Pelodiscus sinensis: one gene and its partners. The protein of the gene in region 2 interacts with the protein of the main gene of each other region in a pairwise test. Links are inferred from orthologs where the notes say so. Each region holds a gene or a part of one and is shown on either strand. Other genes may lie near its edges.

Region 1 (11,021 bases), on a different chromosome or scaffold from region 2:
CCCGGGTTACGTACAAGATAGGGACTGTAGGTTTGTTCTTAAGTTGAATCTGTATGTAAGTCGGAACTGGCGTCCAGATTCAGCCGCTGCTGAAACTGATCAGTTTCAACAGTGGCTGAATCTGGATGCCAGTTCTGACTTACATACAGATTCAACTTAAGAACCCCAGGCATCCCCAAGTCAGCTGCTGCTGAAACTGATCAGCGGCTGATTCCAGGAAGCCCGGGGCAGGGGCTTCCTGTAGTCAGCCACTGGTCAGTTTCAGCAGCGGCTGACTTGGGGACGCCTGGGGCAGAGCAGCTGGGGTGCTGCTGGGTTGGTCCAGTAGCGCCGCCGCTCCTCGGCGCTATTGGACCAACCCAGCAGCACCCAAGCTGCTCTGCCCCAGGCGTCCTGATTCAGCCGCTGCTGAATCTGACCAGCAGTGGCTGAATCAGGACGCCTGGGGCAGAACAGCTGCGGTGCTGCCCGGTTGGTCCAGTAGCGCCCAGAGCGGCGCTACGGGACCAACTGGCAGCGCCCCAGCTGCTGTACCACAGGTGTCCGGAGCAAAGCCACGGAGCACGGGGGCAGCGGGACAGCCCAGACGCGCCGTGGCTGTCCTGCTGCCCTCGGGCTCCGTGGCTTTGCTCTGCTTTGCTCCCCGTCCCCCTGGTCTGCAGACTAGGGGGGGGGGGGGGCAAAGCAGAGCCAAGCCGCAGAGGACGCGGCCAGCTGACAGCTGACCGCGCGCTCCGCGGCTTGGCTCTGCTTGGCTCTGCTTTGCCCCCCCCCCCCGTCCCCCTGGTCTGCAGACCAGGGCGATTTTGGGGGGGGCAAAGCAGAGCAAAGCAGAGCCAAACCGCGGAGCACGTGGGCAGCGGACAGCCCTGTCTGCTGCCCACGTGTTCCGCTGCTTTGCTTCCTCTCCCTGGTCTGCTGGAGACCAGGGAGAGGAACGGCCCCGTTCGTAACTGCGGATCCGACGTAAGTCGGATCCGCGTAACTCGGGGACTGCCTGTATACGTAATATTATATACACACCCCATATATATGAAATCCTTATCTATACCTCTAAAATATGAAGCCAACTACTGTATGCAAGCTGCAATCAAGTAGAACCTTCATGGTTCTCAGAATTTGTTCAGAACTGAATAGCAGCAAGTGAGAGAATCCCTAGCAAAACACAGACCTCTACTGATTAAGCTAAAAGGAGTTCCTCTATTAAAAAGGAGGTATAGTGTACAATTGAGCAATTTGATTACTAAATAGATGAAAGAAGCCGCATGACTGAGTGGAATGTAGTTTAAATGTTCGCTTTAGCCTTTGAACCTAAACTAGGGATGTAAAATCCCATGTAATCAGTTTATCTGTTAAAACTTTATGATTAAGCTTAAATGGGATCCTGTGGGGGAAGAGGGCAGGAACAGTCCAGCCTGCAGCAGCCCCCCTGCCCATGGCGCAGTGGGCTGCTCTAGCCTGCCTGGGGCCACCACAAGACAGGGGCTGCTCCCCACGCTCGTGGTGCATTGGGCCTGGCCAGCCCAGGGCCCCTAGACCACCATATGAGCAGGGGGCTGCTCCAGCCCAGGCAGGCTGCCAGTTAACTGGCAAGCATCACACAGTTAACTCATTAACAGCTGACATCCCTAACTTGAACTTCATTTTGGCACACTCACTTCTAAGGATTTACCTACTGATATTCAAAAATATATTCAGCAGATTTATTGTTTAAATTTCCCCATCCTTTCTGGACAGAAAAAGTGATGGCGGCTTAAACTCTATTTGTTTTTATTTTAGAGCTCATGGTAAGAATCTTGTCTTTTCCCATATTTACAGCTATGAATACTTATATAAATAATGATGTTGTCAGCTCTGAATGACGTATTATTGTCCTTAACTTTGTTTATCCCTGAAGTGTCCTGCTTTTTATTTGAGATTTTTAAAAAATGGTATTTTTGTCTCCATTTTCCTTTATTATTTAAATAACCAATGTTCAAACTGTCCTAAAAATTACTGGTTAGTTTCTCAGTTCTTCCTTAATTGCTAAGTATGTTTATTTTTTACTTATGCCCTCAAAATTAGAAATTTTACAAATGTAACAAAATTTTGCTCAATAAATATGGAATAAGAAGGTGGCAAACTCCAGAATTTAAATTAAGTCTGCTTGTGACAACTAATGTGGAGCTCAATCCTGCTACCAAGTAATTCAATGAGAGTCTTTCCCTTGACTTCAATGGAAGCAGAAGAAAGAACCCTTATATTACCTTCCCTATATTGGAGATTTTTTGATACACAAGGGGAAAGTTGCCTCTCTCCTCTCAGATTTGCTACAAATGCTTTAAAGGCATGCTTTATATTTTTGTTGTAAGCAGTCTGAATAAAATTTTTCTTAGACAATGATAGCTTGCATTATTACAATATTCACAAACAGAAGCAGCATTAACAATTAACTAACATGACAATTAGTCTTCCTATCACTGACCCATAAGGGTAATCTGCTTGCTTCACATTTGTGTGTGGATGCATAGATAAGTGCAAGTCAAATATTATTGATACTGTGGACAATGTAGTATACCTCTTACAGGTGGGCCAAGACTAATATTTTAATCACATATATAATTCTCCACTGCAGAGAAGGCCGGAGCAGGTAAGTGTATTGGAAGCAAAGCCTCATATAAACAAAAAAAAACATATACCTAACAGTGGGCATTAGCCGCAGGTACAGCTGAAACATGGTTGACCTACAAGTACAGACAAGGACAAGCTACTTTTGATCTCATCTACACTTGCTACTAGACCATGTTCATAGTAACAGTTCATCAGATGCAAACACTATCAATGCCTGACATCAGCAGTTAACATTTTGAACAATCTTCTAAAAATCAGACCTACCCTCCTTTCTTTCATGGGACAAGCACACTCATTTTAAATGTATTGGTTTCTAGGAATGTGATAAGTATACCTGACAGTATGAAGCAATCACATCTTGAGTTCCATCAAGAGCTATACTTGTATACAGTATATTGAGCAAGCATATTAGCAGCATTATAGACCAACACTTCGGTTAGTCTATAAGGTGCCACAGGACTCATCACCGCTTTTGCAGATTCAGACTAACACGGCTACCCCTCTGATACTCGACATATTAGAAATGATCATGCTAGAGAAGGGTATGTTGTGAGGGAATACTTGGCAACAATTGGGGTCCATTAGAGTGCACTTGGGAAGTACATTGCATGGGAGCAACAACACCACTTGGCTCTTTCTTTCACAGCACTTTTCACCAGAGGAGCCAACTATAATTATCCTTATTTCCCCACATATGAGAAAACAAAGGCATCAGAGGAAGTTTAGGTAGTATGCAAGGAAGATTCCTGGGGGAGCATATAATAGAAGAGAACTAGGGGTATGTCTACACTACCCCCCTAGTTCGAACTAGGGTGGTTAATGTAGGCAACCAGAGTTGCAAATGAAGCCTGAGATTTGAATTTCCCGGGCTTCATTTGCATATTGCCAGGCGCCGCCATTTTTAAATGTCCGCTAGTTCGGACTCCGTGCGCGTGGCTACACGCGGCACGGACTAGGTAGTTCGGATTAGGCTTCCTATTCCGAACTACCGTTACGCCTCGTGGAACGACGTGTACTGGTAGTTCGGAATAGGAAGCCTAATCCGAACTACCTAGTTCATGCCGCGTGTAGCCACGCGCACGGAGTCCGAACTAGCGGACATTTAAAAATGGCGGCGCCTGGCAATATGCAAATGAAGCCCGGGAAATTCAAATCCTGGGCTTCATTTGCAACTCTGGTTGCCTACATTAACCACCCTAGTTCAAACTAGGGGGGTAGTGTAGACATACCCTAGGGGAAGCTGTGTGTGTTTGAGTAGGTGGGAGTGATTAAAAAGGATATCTGGGGGGGGCTTGGATTTATGGGGTAGGTGCCAGGAGACAGGTGAAGGAGCTACAAGAATGTGTTTGAGGGTACCAGAAGGCAGAAGCAATGCAGATGGGGCTCTGGTGCAGACAGAGGAACTTGTGCTAGGTGCCAGGCATGCTGGAGAGCGGGAGTAGGGATTCTGTGAAGGGCAGGTGTGATGGGTAAAGAGCACAGAAGGAGCTACGTGGGGGCTGCTAGGTACAGGTGAAGCGGCTGAGTGGGGGCTCTGGTGCAGGCATTGCTAAGTGCAAGGGGGCACAGGAGCAGGCGGTGCAGGAGAGGGGCTAGGCAGCGTGATGGGTGCAGGAAGGTTGCCGGTGGGGCTAGGCAGGGTGGCCGGGGGAAGAGCGTTGCAAGGGGGCAGCACTGTGGGGGGCAGTGGCGGCTAGAGGCAGCGAGGGGCGCGCGTGCTATGGGCAGGGGGGCGGGGCTGCCGCTGTCACTCACGCTGCGGTTGAAGGAGTTCCCGGGCAGGAGCGGTAGCGCCATCGCTCGTGCCGCTCTCGAGCCCGGCGCCGCCCCGGGGCTGGTGTTGCTGCCCGGACCCCGGCCGCTCGCGCCCCCTGCGCTGCCAGGCGGAGAGGGAACGTCCACGCGCTGTTTGGGGTTCTGTTGCCTAGCGACCTGCGTCTGACATCACAGGAGGAGGTCTCGTGGCCGCGATTGGTGGCCCGGCTGGGGAAGGCTCTGCTCTCGACTGCCCCCTGGAGGCTCGGGCCGGTCGCTTCACGTGCGCCTGCGGGAGACCCCGCCCGTGTGGAAGCAGACCCGGGGCTGGGCTGCGGTGCTTTCCCAGGGACTGGCCGGGCGCGGTGCGTGGCGGGTGGCGGGCGCTGCTCCTCCAGCTCCAGGTCCCGGATTCAGAGGCTCCGGGCGGCATTTCAGTCTGGCTTCCCCTCTCAGGGGCGCTCGGTGTCCAGGCCTGGTGGCTGTGGAGAAAAGTGCCTCCACCCCCGGAAGGTGCAAAAACACGACCCGCAGCGGGCTGTTTCTGTTCGCTCTTGCATGGTGCCCAGCACCGACCATGGCGCTTAGCTCCGCGCGAATGTCACTTTCTGCTCCCCAGGCCCATTCCTTGCCCTTCCAGAATAACATGGCACTACGGAAATGCTGTCAACACGTTCAACTACGTTATCACTGCAATTAAAAAGAAAAACGCTCCTGATGATGTTTTACTCGGGTTCCCACCGTAAATAGTGGTGAGCAGAGTTGTGAGCACAAACCAAAGCTAACAGTGTCCAATGGGAGGTTTAAGCTTTGAATAAGACACTATCTTCGGGGCATTTTGGATGCCCTTCCAAAACATAGTCCAGAAAAGCAGCAGCTAAATGGCTTGTCTGTCCTTGTGTTTCACATATGAATGGTCAATAACTTTCCTCAAAACCATTTTTCACAAAAAATTGGATTTTTTTTTACTTTTTTCAGATTTCAATTTGTAATTAAATAAAAGAAAACCTGAACAGTCCAAAATGAAACGGATCCTATTTTTTGTCCAATAGCTGACATCTTTTCGCCAAAAAAAATGCTTTTATTCTAACATGCCCCCACAGTGCCTCAAAGGCAGTGTAGTTCAGTTGTTTCATATCCTTATTCTACATAGCCCTGACCTGACTCCTCAGCCAGATTTCAGTTCCTTTGATGCACCACAATCATAAAATTCCTATAATGCAGTGTCTCTTCACTAGGAGAGAAGAAGACTGTGATGCATCACAGGCCATATTGTCTGATTAGGGAGCCCAGCCTAAAGAGAAAAATGGAAACATGAGGCACCCAAGTAACTCAAACCTTTTTGCAGAAAAATTGAAATTTTCCCTGGGGAAAATAACCTGTTTTCTCACCAGCTCCTGTTTCAAAGAAAGCGACGAGGAGTCCTGTGGCACCTTATAGACTAACTGAAGTGTAGGAGCATAAGCTTTCGTGGGCAAAGACCCACTTCGTCAGATGCATGTAGTGGAAATATCCAGAGGCAGGAATAAATATGCAGGCCAGGATCAGGCTGGAGATGATGAGGTGATCCAATCAAGGAGGATGAGGCCCACTTCTAGCAGCTGATCTGGAGGTGTGAATTCCAAGAGAATAGAAGCTGCTTTTGTAGTTAGCAAGCCATTCACAGTCTTTGTTTAATCCAGAGTTGATTGTGTCAAACTTAAAGATGAACTGTAGCTCAGCAGTTTCTCTTTGAAGTCTGGTCCTGAAGTTTTTTTGCTGCAGGATGGCTACTTTTAGATCTGCAATTGTGTGTCCAGGAAGATTGAAGTGTTCCCCTACAGGTTTTTGTATGTTGCCATTCCTAATATCAGATTTGTGTCCATTGATTCTTTTACGTAGGGACTGTCCTGTTTGGCCGATGTATATAGCAGTGGGGCATTGTTGGCACATGATGGCATATATTACGTTGGTGGATGTGCAGGAGAATGTACCAGTGACAGTATGGCTGATCTGGTTAGGTCCTGTGATGGTGTTGCTGGTGTATATATGTGGGCAGAGTTGGCACCGAGGTTTGTTGCAAGGATTGGTTCCTGAGTTCGAGTTATTATGGTGCGGTGTGTAGTTGCTGGTGAGAATATGCTTCAGTTTGGCGGGTTGTCTGTGGGCAAGGACCGGCCTACCTCCCAAGGCCTGTGAGAGCGAGGGATCATTGTCCAGGATGGGCTGAAGATCGCTAATGATGCGTTGGAGAGGTTTTAGCTGGGGACTATAGGTGATGGCCAGTGGTGTTCTGTTGGTTTCTTTCTTGGGCTTGTCCCGTAGCAGGAGGCTTCTGGGTACACGTCTGGCTCTGTCAATCTGTCTCCTCACTTCCTCGTGTGGGTATCGCAGTTTACAGAATGCCATACTGTCACTGGTACATTCTCCTGCACATCCACCAACGTAATATATGCCATCATGTGCCAACAATGCCCCACTGCTATATACATCGGCCAAACAGGACAGTCCCTACGTAAAAGAATCAATGGACACAAATCTGATATTAGGAATGGCAACATACAAAAACCTGTAGGGGAACACTTCAATCTTCCTGGACACACAATTGCAGATCTAAAAGTAGCCATCCTGCAGCAAAAAAACTTCAGGACCAGACTTCAAAGAGAAACTGCTGAGCTACAGTTCATCTTTAAGTTTGACACAATCAACTCTGGATTAAACAAAGACTGTGAATGGCTTGCTAACTACAAAAGCAGCTTCTATTCTCTTGGAATTCACACCTCCAGATCAGCTGCTAGAAGTGGGCCTCATCCTCCTTGATTGGATCACCTCATCATCTCCAGCCTGATCCTGGCCTGCATATTTATTCCTGCCTCTGGATATTTCCACTACATGCATCTGACGAAGTGGGTCTTTGCCCACGAAAGCTTATGCTCCTACACTTCAGTTAGTCTATAAGGTGCCACAGGACTCCTCGTCGCTTTTGCAGATTCAGACTAACACGGCTACCCCTCTGATACTTGTTTCAAAGAAGTTTTTCAAAGAGTTGTGCAAATTTTAAAAAGGTCGCTCGCTGTGTGTATGTAGCGCTTGCAATATTCAAATGCCTAACCACTTTCTATGCTGACTAAAGTTCTAAAGACATCCATGAGATACATATATCTTCTATATCCATTTCAATAAATACCTTTTATTTATCTGTATACAGTGAGCCCTCGCTACTTCGCGGTTCGACTATCGCGGATTCACGACTTCGCGGACTTTTTTCATTACATTATGTATATACGTGAATCCGCGATGGTCGAACCGCGAAGTAGCGAGGGCTCACTGTATACATGTTAAATATACATGTCCCTACTTCGCGGATTTTCAACTATCGCGGTCGGGTTTGGAACCTATCTACCGCGATAAACGAGGGTTCACTGTAGTCCCTTAGGAAACACAGTGCATATTCAAGCAGCAAAACTTTAAATTCCAGTAGCTTTCATTTGAAACAGAGGGCTTGAAGGACACTGACACAAAGCATCTTGGAATGCTTACATTATACTAATATTCTTTTTGTGATTTATTTATAGAAGTTTCTTTACACTTCTGGACGTCCAACATCCTAAATCCTGTTTGAAAGCCCCTGTGAAACATAGGCTCAGAGAACTGGAATAAATTGCCTAGAAAGGTTATGGAATCTCCATCATTGGAGATATTTAAGGGCAGTTTGGATAGACATCTGTCAGTTAGGATCGGCACGATGCTTGGTCCTGCCATGAGAGCAGGGGACTGGACTTGATGATCTCTCGAGGTACCTTCCAGGCAGAGTGATTAAACACTGGAATAAAAAAAATTCTACTTTCAAATACATTACACTGTTAATTCATGGTGACAAATTATTTCTACTTTTTAAATTTCTGAGCAAAATAGAATTTTTTGTCCAGTCTTTTTTTTGCTGTTGTGACCTCACTACATAAGCTAAACAAAGAAAAAGATTAAATAGACTAGTGCTGTTTCATAACAACTGCTTATGGACATTTATATTAAGCTATAGGCTAATAACATGATATTGTTGCATTTGCAAAATACTTCTCAATACCTCAGTTTTCAACTCAGAAAGGGCTGAGAAAGTACTGCAAAATTTAATGTAAATTAGTTAGGGACAATTATAAAAAGGTGTGAAAATACAGAAGTGAGTGTGACTTTTCAATCAGCATGGACTCCTATCATTAAAGCCCTATCAGAGCCAAAACAAATAAGCAGAAATGTAAACTTTCAAAGACTCATAGAATACTAGAACTGGAAGGTAATTCGAGTGATCGTCAAGTCCAGTCCCCTGCCCTGATGGCAAGACCAAGCATTGTCTTGATCATCCCTGATAGATGTCTATCCAAACTGCCATTAAATATCTCCAGTGATGGAGATTCCACAACCTCCCTGGGTAATTTATTCCAGTGTTTAACCAGTGTTTAATTTATTCCCCTTTATTCGGCTCTGGTGAGGCCACATCTGGAGTATTGTGTCCAGTTCTGGGCCCCCCACTACAAAAAGGATGTGGACGCATTGGAGAGGGTCCAGGGGAGGGCAACCAAAATTATTAAGGGGCTGGAGCATATGACCTATGAGGAGAGGCTGAGGGATTTGGGTCAGTTTAGTCTGCAGAAGTGAAGAGTGAGGGGGGCTTGATAGCAGCCTTCAACTTCCTGAAGGGAGGTTCCAAAGAGGATGGAGAAAGGCTGTTCTCAGTAGTGACAGATGGCAGAACAAGGAGCAATGGTCTCAAGTTGTGATGGGAGATGCCCAGGTTGGATATTAGGAAAAACTATTTCACTAGGAGGGTAGTGAAGCACTGGAATGGGTTACCTAGGGAAGTAGTGAAGTCTCCATCCCTAGAGGTGTTTAAGTCTCGGCTTGACATAGCCCTGACTAGGTTGATTTAGTTGGGATTGGTCCTGCCGAGAGCAGGGGCCTGGACTTGATGACCTTCTAAGGTCTTTTCCAGCTCTATGATTCTATGATTCTGTGATTTCTTGAAATATGGTGCCTAAAACTGGAAACAACACACCAACTGAGGCCTAATCAGTGCAGAGTAGAGCAGGAGAATGACTTCTCGTGCCTTACTCACAACTCTCCTGTTAATACATCCCAGAATCATGTTTGCTTGTTTTACAACACTGTTGTCACACTGTTGACTCCTACTTAGTTGTGGTCCACTTTGATCCCTGCATTCCTTTCTGCAGTACTTCTTAGACAGTCACTTCCCATTCTGTGGCTACATCTACACAGCTTCCCTCTTCCGCAAAAGCCTATGCAAATGAAGCACGGATTAACATATTGCTGCATTTCATTTGCATCATTAATTAGGAGTCATTTTTGCGCAAAAAAGCGCGTCTACACAGCACTTTTTTACACAAAAACCCTCTCTTGCGCAAGAGCCATTCACCTGAAAATATTAGGAAGAATGGCTCTTGCGCAAGAGGGGGGTTTTGCATAAAAGGCGCTATGTAGATGGCGCCTTTTTGTGGAAAAACCTCTTATGCAAAAATGGCTCCTAATTAATTATGCAAATGATGTGTGGTAATATGCCAATCCGTGCTTCATTTGCATAGGCTTTTGCAGAAGAGGGAAGTGGTGTAGACTAGCCTATATGTGTGAAACTGATTATTCCTTCCTAAGTGGAGTACTTTGCATTTGTCTTTGTAAAACTTCATCATATTTACCTCAGACCATTTCTCCAGTTTGTCCAGATCATTTTGAATTATGACCCTATCCTCCGAGCTCGGTATCATCTGCAAACTTAATAATCTTACTCTCTATGCCATCATCTAAATTGTTGATAAGATATTGAACAGAATCAATCCCAAAACAGACCCCTGCACAACTCTACTTGTTATGCCCTTCCAGCATAATTGTGAGCTGTTAACTACTCTCTGAGAATGGTTATCCAGCCAGTTATGCACCCACCTTATAGTAGTCCCATTTAGCTTGTATTTCCCTAGTTTATTGATAAAAAGATCATACAAGACCGTATCAAATGCTTTATTAAAGTCTAGGTATACCATATCCACCACTTCTCCCTTATCCACAAGGCTTGATATCCTATCAAAGAAAGTTATCGGATTGGGTTGACATTATTTGTTCTTTACAAATCCATCCCGACTGTTACCGATCATCATATTTTCTTCCAGATGTTTGCAGATTAATTCCTTAATTATTTGCTCCATTATCTTCTCTGGAACAGAAGTGAAACTGACAATTCTGTAGTTTCCTGGATTGTTCTTGTTTCCCTTTTTTATAGATGAGCACTATATTTGCTCTTTTCCAGTCTTCTGGAATCTCTCCCAACTTCCATGACTTTTCAAAGATGATAGCTAAAGGCTCAGATACCTCCTCTATCTGCTCCTTGAGTATTCTAGGATGCATTTCTTCAGGCCCTGGTGACTTGCAGGCATCTAACTTTTCTAGGTGATTTATTGACTTGTTCTTTTTTTATTTTACCTTCTAAAACTACCCCATTTCCACTAGCATTCACTATGTTAGGCATCCTATCACCATCGATCTTCACCCAAAACAAAACAAAGATGTCATTAAGCATCTCTGCCATTTCTAAGTTTCCTGTTATTGTTTCTCCCTCTTCACTGAGCAATAGGCCTACCCTGTCCTTAATCTTCCTTTTGCTTCTAATGTATTTG
Region 2 (10,255 bases):
CCCATGGCAGGCAGGGAGCTGCTCCAGCCTCTACTAGTTAAGAAGAACTAGTAAGTGTTTACTGGTTAAACATTTACATCCCTAACTTCCATACACTGGGTGGCTCAATCTGAAAGCTATTTTGTTTTCCAACAAGTTGTTGCAACCATGAGAAAAGTTCCAGAAGCACAACATAATACAGCACTTCAGATGCACTAAACTTGTGAATACATTTTAGCAAATATACACTATTTAAAGTGTAATTGTAGTCAGTAGAGTGCCTAAGCAAAAGTGGCGTGTTTTTGCTAAGCAGATTCATTCTCTGTGTATCTTCAAGTCACATCTGCTTACTTCATAGCCAAACCAAGTTACTACTATTAGTGCTGCACTCTAAATACAACCCTGGGGAAATATACTTCTACAAAACTGATTATGTTTTTGCTGAAGACTCTTTATTGCTGGCAATGAAGGGCAAAGAATCTCAAGGATCATAACTTGATTTTTAAATCCCAGACTGATTCCAAGCCTGATAGGTAGCATAAAAAGATCTAATCTGCCAAATTTATACATTAAAAGATGAAATCACTGAGACAAGATGTGGAAAGACTCAATGTCACTTTGTTTTTGACTAACAATTTTTCTAGCATAAATGCACTTAAACTCAGCCTGTACCTTACTGTTAGATCAGAGGTCCCCAACCTGTGGGGTGCTCACACCCCGCAGTGGTGTGAAGAAACATTCAGAGGCACCAGGGGAAGAGAAGTCAGGGAGGGAGCACTATCTAGCCCCACTCTGCTCCCAGATCTATTCAGGCTAGGGATGGAAACGACTAGTTGATTAGCTGACCATCTGATATGCACTTACTTGTCAGACAGTCAACTAGTGATGTGACTAGTCGCTCTCCCTCCCCCCTCGCTGCCTCTACCAGAGAGAGGAAGCAAAGGGGGGGAGCAGGAGTTGGGGGGGAGCCGGCTTAAAAGCCGGTTCCCCTAGCACAGTCTTTGCAGGGGGGTAGAGGAGGTAGAGGGACAGTGGAAACGCTTTTGCTGTGATTCTGCTTTTGAAATGTACAAGAGCTTCAGAGGGGCCTCCTTTTGAAATGTACTAGAGCCCGCTGGGGCTCTTGTACATTTCAAAGGCTCAGGCACTGCAGGGCCATTCTCCTGCTGGCCCTGCACTCCCTGGGGTGCTTCCGCCTTTGAACTGTAGCAAGAACCCCAGTAGGGCTCTTGCTACTGTTCAAAAGCGGAGTCGCCCTTATAGACTAATCCAGGGGTCTCCAAACTTTTCAGCCCGAGGGCCGCATTAACTATCAAACAGCAGTTCGGGGGCCGACTACACACTTGAGGTCCAAATAAAAAACAATCAAAACATGGATGTTGTTTTAATTATTTAATATTATTTTATTCAGTTATTATTTAATAACACATTGATACACTACACATGAACACCTGTATTAGTGTGAATGGTGAAATTGTTTCCTGGATGCCAAAATAGCAGACATTTCTGGCTTTAGATTTGTTGTCCCTAACATCAACAGTGACCTGAGATTATCATCGGACAAGTTTGTTCTCAAATTGTTCTTCACGTAATTTTTTTTCCGTAGACAAAAAGGTCTCCACGGGCCGGATGAGAGGGCCTCGCGGGCCGCATCCGGCCCGCGGGCCGTAGTTTGGAGACCCCTGGACTAATCGAATAGTCAATGGAAATCCCACTGACTATTCAATTAGTTAATTAATCTAAATTTAACAACCCTAATTCAAGCCCAGGTCCAGCCCTGGTATCGGCTCCGAGCCATGGCTCAGGTTCTATTCCAGGGATGGGGAATCTTTTTGGGGTCAGGGGCCACTGACCCACAGAAATAACAGTTGGGGGCCCGCACGCAAGTGAGAAACAAAAAAAACCAAAAGACTAATCCTCACTGATGTGGCCCTTAACTAAGGAGAAAAACACGTTCCACATTCCCCTCACACACCGGGGCCTGGGGGGCCTAGGCTAGTAGATTCAGTGTGCTCCAGCTCCGTGGGGGAGCGAGAGATTGGGGTGCCAGCACAGGCTCCCCAGTGCTGGAGGGGGGAGCCCTAAGCCTCAGGGGCCAGATCCAGGCAAGCTGGGGCCCACCCCTGCCCTATTCCCAATTGTACCCCTGCTCCCAGGCAGTTATGGCCTGCCCAGGGCCCCACTTCTGGCCACGACCCTAGGCCTGCTTCTGTCCCTTGCTCCTGGCCGCAATTCCAGCCCCTGCTATTGGCCAACTCCCAGCTTTTGGTCCTACTTCTGGTGTCCCAGTTGCGAGCCCAGCTATGGCTCCAAACACCCTGGAGCATTAGGCTTTTAAGAATACACAGTTTTCAAACTAATAATATTGACAGTGAATTAATTCTTGGAAATCAGTAAACTAAGACAGCATAAACTGCTACAACTCCTGGTCTACGTCTAGATTGCATCCCTTTTACGGAAAAGGGATGCAAATTAGACGTATCCCAATTGCTAATGAAGCAGGGATTTAAATCTCCCCCACTTCATTAGCATAAAAATGGCTGCCGCTTTTTTTTTGGCACAGAGCTTTGCCGGAAAAAAAGCGCCATCCTAGACGCAGATCTTTCGGAAAATAAAGCCTTTTCCGAAAGATCCCTTATTCCTTATTTTAAGAGGGATAAGGGATCTTTCGGAAAAGGCTTTATCTTCCGAAAGATCTGCGTCTAGGATGGCGCTTTTTTCCGGCAAAGCTCCATGCCGAAAAAAAGCGGCAGCCATTTTTATGCTAATGAAGCAGGGGAGATTTAAATCCCCGCTTCATTAGCAATTGCGATACGTCTAATTTGCATTCCTCTTCCAAAAAAGGGATGCAATCTAGACATAGCCCTGCCATATACTAAGAGATGTTAAGAGTTTAACCAGTTAACTGATAAAACAATACTTATTGATTAATGTAACCAGTAAAATGCTGCTCCCCTGGGGAATTGGCTGCCCCTCCCTCCTACCCCCACCACGGCTTTACATTTGAGCTTGGAGCCTGCAGGCAGGTTCAGTCCAGGCACATGCCGGGTCTTGGCAGCTGACCCCACTCTGCTGCAGCTCTGCATTTCTGCCTGCTGCCTCCAAATTTAAATGCAGAGCCGCAGCTTGACAGCAGGACCAGCTGCTGGGACCAGCACATGCCAGAACTGAGTTTGCCAGCTCCTACTGCAGAACCCACTGTGGGCTTAGTACATCCCCAGGCTAAACTAACAGTTAACCGCAGACCCCATAAGACATTTAATGGGGTTGCAGGCAGTGTAATATGGGCACTGGTGTGGCGCCTCAGGAGAAATTCAACTGCAGCCCAGCAGAGCGCCCACAGCTATGTTTTGTTTCTATGGTGGTGCACATTTGCACATGCTTCCGTGCTCATAACATTATTCCACACGTGGATGGGATTGCTGAGAGGGAACACCGGCCGGGGGGGGGGGTGTCATTTTTGTCGCCAGAAGAGGGTAGCGGGGTTTAGAGAACCCCGCCCTGCACTAGACCCACAAGAGCCGAGTCGTAGCGGGCCTGTCCATCACGGCTGCTCGTGTTCTCCGGCGGAGCCGGGTCGCAAGGACTTTCCCACGGAGCGATCCCACCCGCAGCGGCGACAGCTCGCCCTGCAGTTCGGCTACTCGCGCGCCGCCCTCCCTCCGGCGGCACCTCCCGGCCGGGCGGGCGGGCGCTCACCTGAGGCGGGAGGATGCGAGCCGGGCAGGAGCTCGCGGCTCTGACAGACTGCGGCAGCGGGGGGAGGGGGCCTGGCGAAAATACAGCGCCCCGGCCCGCTGCGGGGGAGCTCCAGGGCCAGGCCGGGCCCCAGAGCGCGGGAGGAGGGGCGGCAGGGAAAGTTTCCGGCGACAGCTTCGCCCTGAGGGGAGGCGGGCTCGCGGCACCCGCGCGCAGTGGCGGGCGAGGGTCTCGCGCGAGCCGCCGCCCCCTCCCCCAAGGCCTGGAGACTCCTCCCCCCTCCCCGTTCCGCCCGCCAACGGAAACCGCCCGGCCGTTGGTTCCCCTTCTCCCCCGCACCGCCCCTCCCCCCTCACCGTCTCCGCCTGAGGCTCGGCGCGCGGGTCCTGCGGTCGCCGCTTCGCTTCTCCGCCTGCCCGGGCCTCCCTCGCCACAATGGCCTCTCTCGTCACAGCCCCCTCACGGGCCGCGCCAGGTCCGGACCCGCTAACAGACAGCCACGCCGCCCAACCACTGCTCCCCGCTCGCCGGCCGCAGCCAATCAGGCCGTGGGGGCGGGCCGCGCTAGCCACTACATAAGGAGGGTGGGGGGACTGCAGTAGAGGCGGGAGGGTCTGAGGGATCGTTTTCTGGGTGGCAACGGCAAGCTCCTCGTGGTGATGACGTCACCAATCTGTGTTAGCCTGTTCCCGTTGTTGTGATGTCATAAGTGTGATGTCATCTCACACCACAATGCCAGTCAACGCTTCAGGGCAAAGCACCAGTGTCAGGTAGGGTTGCCAGGGGTCTGGTTTTGTACCAGACAGTCCAGTATTTGAGCTTTCTGTTCCCGCAACAGATTGAGAAAATAGAAATGTCCGGTATTTTCTAAATAAGATGCAGTGTAGATTGTGATGTAATGTCAAGTGTGTCCGGTATTTTTATTGAAACCAGCTGGCAACTCTACTGTCCCCAGGGTGGCGAGGTCAGTCCCTCGCAGCAAACGGCTGTCGTGCCTAGCCCTGACGTCATAAGAAGACCCTCATGTTGCCACATGCTGATGCCATCCCTTCCTGTCAGGATGGAGCTGGGCGCTCATTGCATCACAATGAGTCTGCTTTCCATCAAAATTGTAGGAGACTGTGATAGGAGGTGACCACTCTGCTGCTACCGAACCATTCCAGTGATTCGGCAATGCATGGCTGCCACATTTCCTTACCGCATAGCCACCACTGGAAAAGGGGGAAGGAGGTCACTGTAGGTAGCACAGCCTCCCCCACTCTGTTAGTTGTTAAACATATGAATAGCTCTTGTAATCCACAGCATTGGTGTAAAATGCCACAGTATGTGTTTAGAGTAGAGGATGACTGAGCATTAAAAGCCCAGTGAGGGGAAATATTTAGCCACCGAACTCACAAAAATCTACATTACAAGCCTGCTCTTCCGTACTCATTCCCTCCCCACCTCAATCTTCAGACTGCTTGCTTTGTAAAACTGCTACTGACTAAAAAAATACAACCTTAACACAATCTACATCAATGGGTGGTAAGTGACTCAATGCTTGTGATGGGCTGGACCCCCTGGTAGGCTGAGGTAACACTGAGCTTGCCTTTTCTGCCAGTCTGGGCATCCTTTAATCCTGTCTCCTTGTGTCAGGCTCTTAAACGTCTTCAGAGCACGCACACACAGGGGTTGCACCCAACTGCAGCATGATACCGACATTGATACCAGCTGTGGGAAGGCTCAGTTTAAGGGACTTGCCACAGCACGCAGGTGGCCACCTCCCTTAAAGTGCAAGCCCAACATTATATGAAAATCTGCCTCCTCTGTTGATGTGGAGTAAGATATGCAAAATTTCTCTCCCCCACTGCCACTAGAAATTACATAAACTGGGATATATTGTAAAGAAATAAGTTTAACTACATAAAGATTGATCTAAAGTGTTTATAACAGATAGCAATCTGCTCTTCTCTTTGCTAAGAAAATACAAAGCATGCAAACTGCTTAAGTCAGTTGGCTAACAAACAATAATGCCTCACCCTAGATATTATTTAGGTAGATTATTTTACAGGCCAAGTATCTTGCCAGCCTGAATCAGGCAATTCTTCTCCCACCCTGTTCCGGTCCTTTTATTTCCTGTTATTTTCAAGCATCTCTTTGGGTGTGGAGGCAGAGGAGAAGCAAACTGAAGGCTTTGATTGTTTTCCTCTTCCATCTTATAGGATTTCCATACGGCACAAATCCTTTCATTCCCCCATCTCCCAAGTGGAAAAGTCCAACACTCAAAGATGGAGGCTAGTAACAGGTGACCAGATCACTTAACGCCGTAGGATCACAGCATCCATGAGTCAGTGGCAGTATGGAATGTCCCCAGGAAGGCCAAGTCTTTTCACACAAAAAAACTTAAAAAAACAAATAGTCTTGCAGGACCTTAATGTTTTTTCAGTTAGGGTATGTCTACACATCAAAGTTATTTCGAAATAACAGCTGTTATTTCTAAATAAATTTCCTAGTGTCTGCAAGCCAACCGCTATTTCGAAATTAAATTGAAATAGCGGAGGGCTTATTTCGAAATTGGTAAACCTCATTCCACAAGGAGTCACGCCAATTTCGAAATTGCTATTTCGAAATAAGTGCTGTGTAGACACTTATTTCAAAATAGGGGGCCTCCAGCCCTTCCCAGGGTGCCCTGGTGGTCACTCTGGCCTCAACCAAGAACACTCCTCTCCCTTCCCCACTTCCCCGGAGCCCTTAAAGAGGTAGACTCTGGCCACAGTGCCTGTGCCAGCTCCAAGCCTGCCAGCCCAGAGCCAGCAGTCACTACTCCTGACCTAGTGGCCCCAAAACATGAGCCAGCAAGCCACTGGCAGCCAGTCCTCCACCACTCCCCAGGAGCAGTCTGCCAGCTCCCAGGAGCTTGCCAGGGCCTGGAGAAGGCGGGCACCTTCCTGATCCAGTGCGGAGATCATGGACCTTATTCAGGTTTGGGGGGGTGCCCCCAACGTCCATGATCTCCACACTAGATGGGGGAACGCGGCCATCTATGGCAGGATAGCTGCCAGCCTGGCCACCAAAGGCCACATGTGAACCTAGGAGTAGGTTTGCATGAAAATCAAGTTGGTCCGGCGAGATTCCCCAACCCTGAACTTCCCCTCCCCCTTCTTCCCCTTGCTTCCTCCTTCCAGCTCCCTCCTCCCAGGTTTCTCCCTCCCCTCTCCCATCCGCTCTCCTCCTTTCCCCAGTCTCACCAGAGTTTCATCCCACCTCCATTTTGTTAAATAAAGAGAGTTTGTGTTCATGAAAATACATGTATTTTATTTTACATCAAGAAAGGGGGTTAGGGAGTGGTAAGTGGAAGGATATGAGGGAAGAATGACGCACAAGCCCTCAGTGGGGCAGACCAGGGAGGCTCTTAGTGCCCCGTAGGGTGGAAGCTTTCCCGCAAGGCCTCCTGGATACTGACAACCCCCCGATGGACCTCCCGGATGGCAGCCTGCAGAAAGTGCAGTCAGGCTCGCAGCAACGTGTCCACGAGAAGCACCAGAGTGCCCAGGGGCAGCTCTGGTTCCATGTTGCAGAGTGCTGTGGTGTCCCGAGTGAGGGCAACTAGAGCACGCAGAGACAAAATGCTTTGCTGTCCCTCATCGAGGTAGGCAAGCAAGCAGGGAAACCTGAGAATCTGCTGTTCAGGAGGGGTTCCTTTAAGCACAGGCCTCGGATAGCCTCAGGCAGCAACCACACAATCTGAGATCTGAGGAAGTGGGTCTGGCCCACGAAAGCTCATCATCTAATAAACCATCTTGTTAGTCTTTAAAGTGCTACATTGTCCTGCATTTTGCAACCACACAATGTAACTCCTGACCTGATGCCCTGCCAGACCTGGTTCTAGCCGGCCTTAAATGTGATTCAGCGTCCGCTCAGTGTGGACGTGCTATTTCGAAATAGCCAAATGCTATGTTGAAATGCATTTTGTGTGTAGATGCGTTATTTAGAAATATCTTATTTTGAAATAACTATTTCAATATTAGATATTTCGAAATAACACTGTAGTGTAGACGTACCCTTACAGACTAACAGGGGCCCTCTGAAGCCTTTTCACAGTCCATTGCTGTCACTGATGGGCCATCAGCCCTGTCTGGCTTTTCCATTGTTTTACCTGTAGTGTTAGCAGTAGGTGTTACTCTCTGTAGCATAGTTGAAATACAAATAGAAATATTGACTATGTAACTTCAGATACAAAAATGATATAAGTATACAAGTTGGATAGTCACATTCAGTAAATCATAACCTTTCCAATACCTTATCTGAGCCATCTCAAGGTCTCTCTCAATTATGAAGAGTGATAGAAATGTAGCCATGTTAGTCTGGGGTAGCTGAAGCAAAATGCATTTTGCTTCTCTCAATTATGTCATCCATATCATAAGCTTATTTGCATAAAGATATGGAGTGTAACATCACAATGAGCATTTCTACCTCTGTCTAGTCTCCCCTCACTGTAATTTTAAAATTTTTTTTACTGAATTAACGTGCTTTAGACTAGTTATCAAATTGCCTTAATACTGCACTTTTTGGCAATACAAGAAAACTAGCTGCTCAATAAACAGAAGAAGCCCTTTCCATCACCTGCCAAAAAATTCTGTTCAGCAGATGCCATTGGCTTCCATGCCTGATTTTCACTATACCTTTTTTTGGTGTAGTACTGGCTTTTGACAAGTAAAACAAACTGTGGGAGCTTCAGAACTATTTACCAGAAATTACTACAAGCAGCTATTGTAGCACTGTCAAGCCATCCAGTTAAGTATTAAAACATCTCTATTTAAAAGCAACTCTGCAGGGAATATCTTGTATGTATATACAAACAAAAAATTCTTGACAAGTACATGCATGAGCCATTAAAAAAAAAATCACATTCAAAGCTTGAGTTAAGGTAATTCTTGAATGGTCTGCTGTGAGAACTTAGAGCACTTCACTCTTATAGTTAAATTCCCTTGAGGTTTGTAATAGCTCCTCTGTGTTAGCCCGCAACTATGTTTACATAATATAAAAAGTACAAATGCAGAATTTTTGAAAATGCATAATTTAAGATGGGGATTTTTAAATTTTAGATATAGCTTTCTGTATTACCAAAACAATCTTAATTTTTCATATTTGCTAAAAGCTTAACTAAAAATGTAGTGCAGTATGGGGGGATTCTATTGTACATTTTAAAGAGCCACTGTATCTGAAGGTCAAGTCATCCTTCAAAGCTGGAGTTCTGGATTTTATCATTGAGACTACATAGGACAGGTTTTGTAGTTGATATTAACATGCTTCGGAGTAGAAGCTGAGCAGCTGATATATTATTGCAATTATCCAACTGTACAGAATGAAGGGGTTGAACCAAAAGTGTTTGATAAGCCGTTGGAAGAAACACTGAGAATTTCTGCATGAAAACTGATCAGTTTTTCCTGTGTGGTTTGATATCCTATCAAGGATTTTACCACACCCTGTGTTCTCGAGATTTGTGATGCCTGCTTCATATGAAAAAATGTACAGTAATAGACTCTGCTGAACCATTATGCATATATAGCCCCAACAACGGACACAGCTCAGTCAGTGCCAGGAATGAGACAGTGCCCCCTAGGTCAAAGACAGTGCCTCCAAGATACAATTTTATATACAAGTTACACATCACTCCTGGGCTACGTCTAGACTGGCATGATTTTCCGCAAATGCTTTTAACAGAAAAGTTTTTCTGTTAAAAGCATTTGCAGAAAAGAGCGTCTAGATTGGCACGGATGCTTTTCCGCAAAAGCACTTTTTCCGGAAAAGCATCTGTGCCAATCTAGACGCGGTTTTGCACAAGAAAGCCCCGATCGCCATTTTCGCCATCGGGGCTTTTTTGCGCAAAACAGTTTTCAGCTGTCTACACTGGCCCTTTTGCGCAAAAGCATTTCCGGAAAAGGGCTTTTGCCCGAACGGAAGCAGCATAGCATTTCCGCAAGAACACTGACAATCTTACATGAGATCGTCAGTGTTCTTGCAGAAATTCAAGCGGCCAGTGTAGACAGCTGGCAAGTTTTTCCGCAAAAGCAGCTGCTTTTGCAGAAAAACTTTCCAGTCTAGATGCAGCCATGATGTATAAGGTTGCCACCCTCTGATATATTAGCAAAGTCTTGACTGTTTCTAGGCCTCAAACCAGGCCTATGATACATGGGCTTATATTTCAGCTCTCATCTTACTACAGAGGGCTATAATGTATCTGCACCCAATGATTGATAAGCATAATAGAAAACTAAGATTCCAAGACAGAGACTATTGTGGTAATCCAGTCTGACCTGTGTAACACTGGCCACAGACTGCCCCTTGAATTCCTCTTTTTAAAAATCAAGACTGGATGTTTTTCTAAAATTGTCCACAATGGAGAATCCACCATGACACATGGTAAATTGTTCTAGTAATTAATTACCTTCACTGTAAAAATGTCTTACTATTTCCAGTCTAAATTTGTCTAGCTTCCACTTTTGAGCCATTGGATACTGTACACTAGGGGTGGGGAACCTTTTTTTCCCCCAATCACTGGCCCACAAGAAAAAAAACCAAAACAAAAATCAGCCTG
Region 3 (10,800 bases), on a different chromosome or scaffold from region 2:
AATAATCATGCACAAGCTCCCACCTTAACACTGAACTTTATTAAAAATGGAAGCACTGTTTAATCATTAAAGAAGATATGTTCAGGCTTTTAAAAAGTGCCTGGAAATATTTTTTCTGCAATCTTCCAGAACTAGAGATCAAAATAAGTATCTTAGGCTATGTGTATACTAGTCTCTATTGGCACAGTCCCCAAGTGTAGATGCAACCTACCAGTGACATAAAAGACTTTTCTTCCTATGTGGAAAAAGTACCACCCCCAGATGGATGTTGTACTCTTCTTTCAGCCTGGCTGTGCCTACACGGAGGGGGAGGGGAGACCCTAGCTATGTTGGTCACAGGAGTGGGTTTTTACCACATTCCTGTTCAAGCTAGCTATTACAATATAAGTGTCAGTGTAGGTACTTATCGGGCCATACCACTCCCACAGTATCTGAACACTTCTCTATCTTTAAAGCATTTATCCTCTACACTCCGGTGAGGTAGGCAGTAGCCCCATTTTATAGATGGGGAACTGAGGCCCAGCTTCTCAAAGGTATTTCAATGCTTGAGTACTATTGAGAACCTTTGAGGATCTGAGCCAGAAAGCCTAAGGCAGGGGTGGGCAATAATTTTTGATGGGGCGGGGATTCCAATATTTTAGAAAGCGTTCAAGGGCTACAACTTTCTATGAAGGGAGTGTGGAGTCTGGGACGAAGATTGGGTGCAGAAGGAAGCTCAGGGTAAGGGATTTGGGTGCAGAAGGAGAGGGCTTGGGGGTCTCAGAGGTAGTTTGGGTGAAGGAAGGGATGGTGACCTGAGGGAGGGGATTAGGGTGCAGGGTCTGGGAAGGGGTATGGGTACAGAAGAGGATTCTGACCTGGCAGAGGGGTGTAGGAGGGATGCAGAGGGTTTGAGTTATGACCTGGAACAGGAGATTGGGGTGCAGCAGAGGCTACAGGGTCAGAAATGGCATATGGATGGCGAAGAGGTTTCTAGCCTGGAGGAGGGATGCAGAAGGGGATGCAGGGTTTGGGAGGGAGATGTGACCTGGGGCAGGGAACTGTGGTACAGGAGGAGCTTGAATGCCAGATACAAGTTCTGGCTGGGTGGCACTCACTAGGCGGCTCCTGGCCAGCAGCCCGGTGGGACTCTAGGCAGGCTCCCTGCTTGCCCCAGCCCCAAGTGGCTCAAAATGGCCAGCTGCTGAGGCCATGTGCCTCTCCGCGCCGTGCACCCAGGGGAGAAAAGGGAGGAAACTTCATGCACTGTCCCAACTTCCAGCAAAATCTTCACAGCTCCCATTTGCCCATTTTGCTACAAAGTAAGTATCTATCAAGTTTTGTCGACATAAACTGCCTTTTCATGACAAAACCATGAAAGGATACATGCTGCTATGCAAATTTTGTTGGGAGAATCTCCCAGTTTCTGACACACACAATTTCCACTCCTATGAGAGACTATTTTCCCCCCTTCCCCTTTCTTTTATTGTTGACAAGGAGCCAGTGTAGACTCTACAGTTTGTTGTTCGACAGAACTGGCTTCAACCAGTAGGGATGTAAAATCCTGGTTAAGTCAGTTAACCGGTTAAACCTTATGTTTAACATGTTACTTGTGTAAGTGGGATCCGCTCCTGTCCCCCCACCACCAACACTCAGCGGGGCCGGCACCAGGAGCCAGCAGCCCCACACACTTGCTGCACCTTCCCCGCTGCTGCTGTGAGTGCAGGGGGAGGGCAGCATGGAATCCTGCCACTGACACCATGTGGCCCCACTAGTCCCCTGGACCACCTTGTCTGGGGGAGGAGGAAGGGAGGAGCGGAGCAAGTGGAGAAGAGTAGGGGTGGAGCCTGGGGCAGAAGAGGGGTAACCCAGCCCTTTTCCAGGTGGGGGAGGAAGAGTGGCCGGCACACCCTCCATCCCCATCATCAGTCACCTCTGGCCCCCAGGGTGGACATGATCAGTTGACAGAGGGAGCAAGTGCGAACACCTTTTGGCTATTTTTGTTTTGTCGACATAAAATGTATTAACAAAACTTGGCAGTATAGACATAGCCAAAGTCTGCATGTGCAAATGTGCACTTTTGTCAGCAAAATACTTCCACCACCAATGAAGGGGTTTTGCTTTGTCAACAGCAGGGCACCACTGTCAACAAAGCAGGTGTTCACACTTTCACTTGCCTCGGCAAAACTTTTGTTCAGAAGAGGGTTAAAATCACCGGTGAACAAAAAAAGTTTTGTTGATCAAGTTTTCTTGACCAAGTGTAGACATACTCAAAGCAGTGAAAAATCTCCTGCCCTGAGCTCTACAGTTACGTCAACCTAATCACCAGTGTAAATACAGATAGCTTGGAAGAATTCTGTGAAGTTTCTGTTATCAATCGCCATTACTTCTCAGAAACGTGGATTAACTAAAATTGACAGGAAAACCCTATCCCTGAATGGAGGAAGCATTTACACTATAGTGTTAAAACTGCGCAGCTGCAGCCCCATCGTTGTGCCACTACAGCAGGGCTACTCAACTTTGGAAGCCCCGGCGGGGGAGCCCACAATAATACTCACAGCACATGCCAAGGGCCGCAACTTAAGTGTGGTTGCATATATATGCAAATATATATGCAAATAGCTTCTTTCACACTGACGGGCATGAATACAAAAATCAAGCTGCAGCACCAGACCCAAACGTGGCCACTGTGAGTCAGGTCAGCAGCTCTCTACCCACAACACTAAGCAGCCACCACTGCCCACAGTGCCCCGGCACTCCCGGGACCTCCTCCTTGGGGGCTAGAAACGCCGACACCTTGTACCCGTCTGTTCCAGCCAGCCTTTCCGCTTGCGTTTTTGAATGGTCACCCCACCTGGGAGACGCCTCTCCATTGTGGAGGCCATGTCCAAATGATCCCACCCGCATGCCGCGTGTTGAGCCTCGTGTAAAACCAAACTGCTCCGCGGGCCGCAAACAAATGGGACACATGTTGAGTAGCCCTGCACTACAGCATAGAAATGGAATAAGTAACTTGTCTAAGGTCACAGAACGAAATCCATGGCACAGCAGGGAGACCCTGCAACTCCCTGCAAAGACTTAGATGTGGATACAATCTCTCTGAAAGGAAAAACAGAAATGTGAATGGAGACATTGGTAACTTAAATGTTTTGTTCAAATGTTTTGTTCATTCAGGATTCCAATCTGCTACTTTTGAAGGGATGTGGTCACAAGACTTTTTTAAAAGTAGGCTTTGTAAAAATCAGTTTCCATGATTTTCAAAATATCATCCATTTTTAGACATTAACAATTCCTGCTGTTTCACTGCACTGGAACATGGAATCCTGAATGAGCTATAAACAAGAAAAACAGACTAATCAGAAGATAGGACAGTAACTTAAGTATAAAATGATGTGTGTACATCAAGACAGCTAACTCCCTGGAAAACAATAGTGGAGACAAGACTCTGTAGTTTTTACTTCAGGATCTTAGTTTGTGGGTCAACCAGAGCTGGAGGGAATAGCTTGGTCTTCACTGCTTTTAAAGGTATGAGTTTTTAATCTCATGATAACACCTGAGCTACCTCAAGGCAAAAGCATAGTCAAGATAGGAAAACAGGTTATTTACCCCCAGACAAAAAACACACCAAGGGCTCACTTTGTCAAAATAAAGAACAACTCACGATGTGTCTCCTCAAGGATTTCTAGATTCACTTAATTATTTAGCCAAGGGAGAGAGAGGGAATTGCGTACAGTGAAGAGAAAGCCCATGAGGGCAACAAGCAAACGCAGAGGTCAAACGGGATGACAAACTGTGTAACCACTCAGGCTCCTGAAGCAGCCAGGGGCTCTTAGGAACTTGTAACTCTTCCCACGCAGACCCCCTGCTCCCACTGAGACCTGCTAATCCCCATCCTCAAACACGCACAGAGCCACATACCCATTCCCCAAAGACCGTGAGACCCACCAAGCCCCCTGTCCTTGCCCAGGGGCAGGATTTGCATTCTACATCCAAAGGGGGCTGGGAGAGACACGCACAGGAAGATCTCAAGTCATAGCCCCCTCCCACCTCTCTCCCCCCAAGACACCCCCCTTGCTTAAGTCAGCCACCCACTCAGCCCCAAAAGTTCTCAGACCCGCCCCATGTCGCCCCTTAAGTCCCACTCCTTGCCCTGGTCTCAGTCCCTCTCCACCTCCCAAGCCCCGCCCCCAATTGTCCAAGCCCCGCCTCCTTTGCATCCGCCCACCCCATCCCTTCATCTCGCTCCAAGCCCCGCCCCCTATGCAGCTTGCTCGTCCCTCCTCCTGGCCCCGCCCCTTTATCACCAAGCCCCGCCCACTATCGCCTCAGCCTCCCCCGACAACTCACCGCCTCCTCCGGCCCCTGGTGCCTCGATCTCCTCCTCAGGCTGAAGAGCGGCGGCGAGTCGGCGCCCCCGCCCCGGGCGTAGAAGCCGGAGCCGGCCCCCGCCATGGCTGCGGACCCCTCCCCCGTTCAGGTGTCCCGCCGCTGGGACGTCTCTACCCTCCGCAACCGCTCCGAACTGCGCGCGGAATCCCAGCTCCTCGGTCCCATTGGTGGCCGCCCACGTCAAATATCTCCGCTATCCAATAGGGGTGGATCTTCCATCAAATCCCGCCCCCTACATCCCACTGGGTGATGCGTATGCTATTCATCCCTCCCTTAGCCAATAGTGGCGGCGCTGCCTTAAATCCCGCCTTTTATGGAAGACGGCAGACGCAAAAGTTGAAGGGTGCGAGTGAAGTCAATCATTTTCAAGTTCAGCCAATGGTGGCGAAGCTACCGTACAATCCCGCCCTCATCTCCACCAGGGAGGTTCTGTTAGGATCTAACACACAGCAGGTACCTCTAGGTCCTGGGTTCGAATCCCAGCCCCCTCAATGGAATGCGATAATTATTTGAAACTAAATACATTTAACCCTAGTTACAAGCAATTAAACCATTAGTTTGTGAAGAGAAAACTAGCACCTAACGGTTCAAGCTCTCTGAATAAACAGACTCCCACTGAACTCCATGATCTTTCTGTGCCAGGAGGGACTTGTTGGATAACTTCAGACCCCACAAGGAAAAGATTTAACATAACTGAAAGGGTCACAACATGCTTCATAGCTTGTATACACTGAACTTACTGCACATCCTAAAAAATTCCTTGCATCTCTATTGAAAGCTCTGTGAACCTTGCCTTCTCCCTTGCTTCCTCAACAAGGTCCCCCATTTCTATTCCCCTGGAAGGAACTTTGTGCCTGCTATTTCCACCTGCCTCTTTCCCAGTTAAGCAACTTAAAAATAGGCCCAGCAAATGGCTATTAGCCAAGATGGTCTTATATCTCCCAGGAACTTATCTAGAGGTTTTTTTAAAACCCATTATAATTTCTGCCTTCTTACATCACCTGGCAATGGGTGCCATTGGCTGAAGTAGTACTTCTTTTTGTTTTAAGTCTACTGCCTATTGAAATCTCCTGGTTCTTGTGTTTGTGAAGGAATTAATAACATTTCCTTATTCACTTTCTCCCCACGACTCCCAATTTCATACTCCTCTGTCATATCCCTTTTTAGTCATCTCTTTTCTAAGTTGAAAAGTCCCAGTCTTTTGAATCTCACTTCAGATAGAACTTACCTCCCAGACAGAAAGCAGATAAACAGCATATTGTCAACATGCCAAATTCCAAATTGAGAAAATGAACAAAGATGAAGTCCCGTATTACCATTGTTTGAGCAACAGACAATTGCTGTGGTGCTCAGAGGCAATGGAATATTTTTATAGTAGGTGTACTGAATGCCATTGAACAAAACGGCAAACCCTGTAAATGAGTTTTTTAACCCATTGTTGATTCCTCCAGCACTTGTACCAGGAAGTTTTTGGAGAATGTTGGGGATAACTTCCTGGTACAAGCGTTGACGGAACCAACCAGGGGCCATGCTCAGTTTGATCTGCTACTCACAAACGGAAAGGAATTAGTAGGGGAAGTAGATGACCTGGGAAGCAATGATCATGAGATGATTGAATTCAGGATCCTGAACAAAGGAAGAAAAGAGAGCAGCAAAATACAGACTCTGGACTTCAGAAAAGCAGAGTTTGACTCCCTCAGGGAACTGATGGGCAGAATCCCCTGGGATGCTAACATAAGGGAGAAAGGAGCCCAGGAGAGCTAGCTGCATTTTTAAAAAGCCTTATTGAAGGTGCAAGAACAAACGATCCCAATGCACAGTAAGAAAAGCAAATATGGTAAGCAACCAGCTTAGCTTAACAGTGAAATCTTTATCAGGCGTTAACACAAAATGGAAGCTTACAAGAAGTGGAAACATGGACAGATGATTTGCTTGAGCATACAGGGGGTGTAATCAGGAAAACCAAAGCACAATTGGAATTGCAGCTAGCAAGGGGTGTGAAAGGCTTCTAAAAACATCTTAGCAATATGAAGGTGATCAGGAAAGGTGTGGGACCCTTACTGAATGAGAGCAGTCACTTAGTGACAGATGATGTGGGAAAAGCTCAAGTACTTGATGCTATTTTGCTGCTGTCTTCACAGACAATGTCAGCTCCCAACCTACTGTACTGGACAGTATGGAGAGGAAGTTGGCAGCCCTCAGTGGAGAAAGAACAGGTTTAGAACTATTTAGAAAAGTGGGACACACTCAAATCCAAAGGGCCGGATCTAATACATCTGAGGATACTGAGGGAGTTGGCAGATGTAATTGCAGAAACATCAGCCATTATCTTTGAAACCTCATGGTGATCAGGGGAGGTTCCAGACAATTGGAAAAAGGCAAATGCAGTGCCTGTCTTTAAAAAAGGGAAGAAGGAGAACCCATGGAACTACAGACAGGTCAGCCTCACCTCAGGTCCTAGAAAAATAATGGCAGGGATCCTAAAGAAATCAATTTTGATGTACTTAGAAGAGGAGACAGTGATAAGAACAGTCAACATGGATTCACAAATGTCAAGTCATGCCTGGCCAACCTGATTGCCTTCTGTCATGTGGTAACTGACTCTGTGAGTATGGGGAAAGTAGTGGACATGAGATACCTTGACTTTGGCAAAGCTTTTAATACAGTCTCCCAAAGTATTCTTGCCAGCAAGTTAAGGAAGTATGGATTGGAGAATTGGACTATAAGGTGGATAGAAAGCTGGCCAGATTGTTGGGCTTAATTGGTAGTGATCAGTGGTGGTTGGTATTGAGTGGAGTGCCCCAAGAGTTGGTTCTGGGGCTGGGTTTTTTTTCAACATATTTATTAATGACCTTAATGAGGAGAGGCTGACAGATTTGGGTTGTCTACAGAAGAGAAGAATGAAGGAAGATTTGATAGCATCCTTCAATTTCCTGAAAGGAGGGGTTCCAAAGAGGATGGGGAGAGACTGTTCTCAGTGGTGGCAGATAACACAAGGAGCAATGGTCTCAACTTGCAGTGGGGGAGGTCTAGGTTGGATATTCAGAAAAACTATTTCACTAGGGTGGTGAAGTGCTGGAATGGGTTTCCTTGGGAAGTGTTGGAATCTCCATCCCTAGAGATTTTTATATCCTAGTTTGACAAAGCCCTGGCTGGGATAATTTAATTGCGATTGATCCTGCTTTTAGTGGGTGGTTGGACTTGATCTCCTGATCCTCCAACTCTATGATTCTCTGAAGGAAATCACTTCAAGCCAGGGGATGCTGCTGCACCCCAACACCTCTAGTTTCAGTACCACTGGTGGCACAGGACACTGTGGCTGTGCTATCAGATTATGTCCATTCCACCCCCACCTCCAACCCCAAATTTTGCCCATTTGGTTTTCTCCAAAGAACTCAAATGTGAAATTGTGGAACTATTCACTGTGGTTTGTAACCAATCCTGTAAATCAGCTTCTGTACCTAATGACTGGAAGATAGCTAACGTGCCACCAATATTTATAAAGGGCTCTAGAGATGATCCTGGCAATTACAGACTGGTAAGTCTGACATCAATACCGATTAACATAATTTGTTGGGGAAAAGTCAACATGGATTCTGTAAAATGAGATCATGTCTTATTAATGTACTAGAGTTCTTTGAAGGGGGGAACAAACATGTGGACAAGGGGAATCCAGTGGATCTAGTGTACTTAGATTTCCAGAAAGCCTTTGACAAGGTCCCTCACCAAAGGCTCTTAAGAAAGGTTAGTTGTCATGAGATAAGAGAGAAGGTCCTCCCACGGACTGATAACTGGTTAAAGAACAGGAACAAAGGATAGGAATAAATGGTCAATTTTCAGAATGGAGAAAGGTAACTAGTGTCCCCTAAGGGTCTGTCCTGGGACCAATCCTATTTAAACTATTTATAAATTATCTGGAGAAAGGGGTAAACAGTGAGGTGGCAAAATTTGCAGATGATACTAAACTGCTCAAGATAGTTAAGACCAAAGCAAACAGTGAAGAGCTTCAAAAAGATCTCACCAAATTAAGTGATTGGGTGACAAAATGGCAAATGAATTTCAATGTTGATAAATGCAAAGTAATGCACATTGGAAAATAATCCCAACTACACATGCAAAATGTGTAGGGACTAATTGAGTTATAACTACTCAAGAGAGAGATCTTGGAGCCATTGTGGATAGTTCTCTGAAAAATATCGACTCCATGTGCAGCGGCAGTCAAAAAAAGGCAACAGAATGTTAGGAATCATTAAAAAAGGAATAGCGAATAAGAGCAGAGAATATCTTGTTGCCTCTATATAATCCATGATACGACCACAACTTAAATATTGGGTACCGATGTGGTTGCCTCATCTCAAAAAATAGATATTGGCATTGAAAAGGTTCAGAAAAGGGCAAAAATGTTTGGAACAGGTGCCATATGAAGAGAGATTAAAAAGACTGGGACATTTCATCTTAGAAAAGAGGAGACTAAAGAGGAGGGGATATGATAGAGGTCTATAAAATCATGATAGGTATGGAGAAAGTGAATAAGGAATGAGAAAGTTAATAAGGAAAAGTTATATATTTCTTCCCATAACATAAGAACTAGGGGTCATCAAATAAAATGAATAGGTGACAGATTTAAAACAAAGAAAGAGAAGTTTTGGAATAGGTTACCTAGGGAGGTGGTGGAACCTCCACCCCAAGAGGTTTTTAAATCCTGACTTGACAAAGCCCTGACTGGGATGATTTAGTTGGGGTTGGTCATGCTTTGGGCAGGGGGTTGGACTCGATGACTTCTGAGGTCTCTGCCAGCCCTAGGATTTTATGATTTTAAGTTATTTTTCACACAGTGCAGTGTCAACCTGTGGAATCCTTGCAAAAGGATGTTGTGAAGACCAGGATTTTTACAGGGTTCAAAAAAGAACTACTCAAATTGAGTAGGAATGGTGCCCCAGCCTCTGTTTGTCAGATCCTGGAAATGGATGACCGGAGAGGGATCACTTGATGATCTCCTGTTTCTGTTCATTCTCTTGGGGCATTTGGCATGAGCCACTATCAGAAGACAGGACACAGGGCTAGGTGGACCCTTGGTCTGACCCAGTATGGCTGTTCTTACGATTTGCTAAGGGAAACAGCGTTTCTTTAAAATACCCCTTAAAATTAAGTAATCCCTTACTTTTCCATGTGGTTTTCCCTTATTTCTGTCCAACAAAGGTGGTCACCTTTACCAGTGGAACGGGAAATAGGGGCACACAGAGCTAGGGTTGCCAGGTGTCTGGTATTGATCCAGACAGTCCGGTATTTTTGCCTCCTGTCCAGTAAAAAAAAAAATCAGAAAATACCAGACACTTAAAATGTCTGATATTTTCTGATTTTTTTTTCCCAGACAGGAGGCAAAAATACCAGACACCAGGCAACCCTACGACACACTGGATAACTGGGCCCAATCTCCAGCCTCCCCCCAAGACCTCCAGTCTCCCTCCCCCAGACTCCCTGCTTACCTGGTTCCACAGGGAAGCTGTGTTCTGGCTTGATCAAGAAAACAAAATGGCCACAGGCAAAAAGCCTCAAGACCAAGGGGAAAACAATGTCTTCTCTGGGTCTTAGTGCTCAACTTCTCCACTGTTCCTATCTCTATTCTGACTCTGCATGCACTCTGAAAGGGGCCATGCTGTTTTATTTAATGTATTTATTTATTTTGCTTAACTCCTGAGTGGGAAGCTAGAGAACACAGTCCTTGGAGAAAAAGAGAGGAAATGGAAACATACAGTCCCTATGTGTGCAATAAATTCAGCCTACATTAAATAAATCATCAGTCATCAGTAAACTTAAATAAATAACCTGAATTTATTCTTGCTAGACCTGGGAAGTTTTCTGCTTCTAGAGAACAGTCTCAGGAGCACATCTTCTATTTACCTCTGACTGGCTTAGCTTAGAGCACTTAATTCCTCTTCCTCTTTTCATGCTGAGTGCCATGTTCTCTTCTAAACATGGGGCTGTTTGGGCAGAAGGAAATGGTTCTGCTGTTTTACCCCTGGAGGGCTCATCACTTGGTGTGCTCTGCAAAAAGCCCAGTACCCTATAGGACTGAGTTTTTAACCCTTGGGGGAGGGCTCTTTAAACAAACAAACAAAAAATCCTTTATGTATTTGTCACATCTCAAGGACCTCAAGTAAACTCTTGGTGGAAAGAGAAGCCTAGAAAGCAAATATAATAATAATCATCAAATTTGTCTGTAGACCTAATGCTTGTGCCCAAGCTAGACTTGAAATATAAAAAGTTAGCAGTTAAGCATAGTAGGAAGTAAAGGCAAGGCAGAGGGAACACAATAAAGCTGAATTGCTGGTCTGTATTTATCATCCTACAGGTTAGGTTACACCTGTACTGTTTGCATTAGTGGCTCCAGCAGTTAAGGCAGCTCTAAGGGTCTAATAATTGATATAGCTA

What was found.
Region 1: the proteins of MAPK9 (region 2) and EFHC2 interact in binary tests that used the Homo sapiens proteins (3 or more experiments, as listed by UniProt). The two-hybrid records come from large-scale screens. The link is inferred for Pelodiscus sinensis from reciprocal best matches to the Homo sapiens genes MAPK9 and EFHC2.
Region 3: the proteins of MAPK9 (region 2) and WDR62 interact in binary tests that used the Homo sapiens proteins (3 or more experiments, as listed by UniProt). The two-hybrid records come from large-scale screens. The link is inferred for Pelodiscus sinensis from reciprocal best matches to the Homo sapiens genes MAPK9 and WDR62.

The regions. Positions count from the first base shown.
Region 1 is NC_134711.1:193,317,893-193,328,913, reverse strand, and holds the start of EFHC2 (EF-hand domain-containing family member C2), read right to left. Parts: upstream 4,539-11,021; 5' UTR 4,408-4,538; coding exon 4,366-4,407; intron 1-4,365. UniProt on the Homo sapiens protein: Microtubule inner protein (MIP) part of the dynein-decorated doublet microtubules (DMTs) in cilia axoneme, which is required for motile cilia beating.
Region 2 is NC_134727.1:33,228,903-33,239,157, forward strand, and holds the start of MAPK9 (mitogen-activated protein kinase 9), read right to left. Parts: upstream 4,231-10,255; 5' UTR 4,035-4,230; intron 3,971-4,034; exon of another isoform or gene 3,679-3,970; intron 1-3,678. UniProt on the Homo sapiens protein: Serine/threonine-protein kinase involved in various processes such as cell proliferation, differentiation, migration, transformation and programmed cell death.
Region 3 is NW_027465849.1:5,099,041-5,109,840, reverse strand, and holds the start of WDR62 (WD repeat-containing protein 62), read right to left. Parts: upstream 4,539-10,800; 5' UTR 4,432-4,538; coding exon 4,327-4,431; intron 3,998-4,326; exon of another isoform or gene 3,641-3,997; intron 1-3,640. UniProt on the Homo sapiens protein: Required for cerebral cortical development. Plays a role in neuronal proliferation and migration.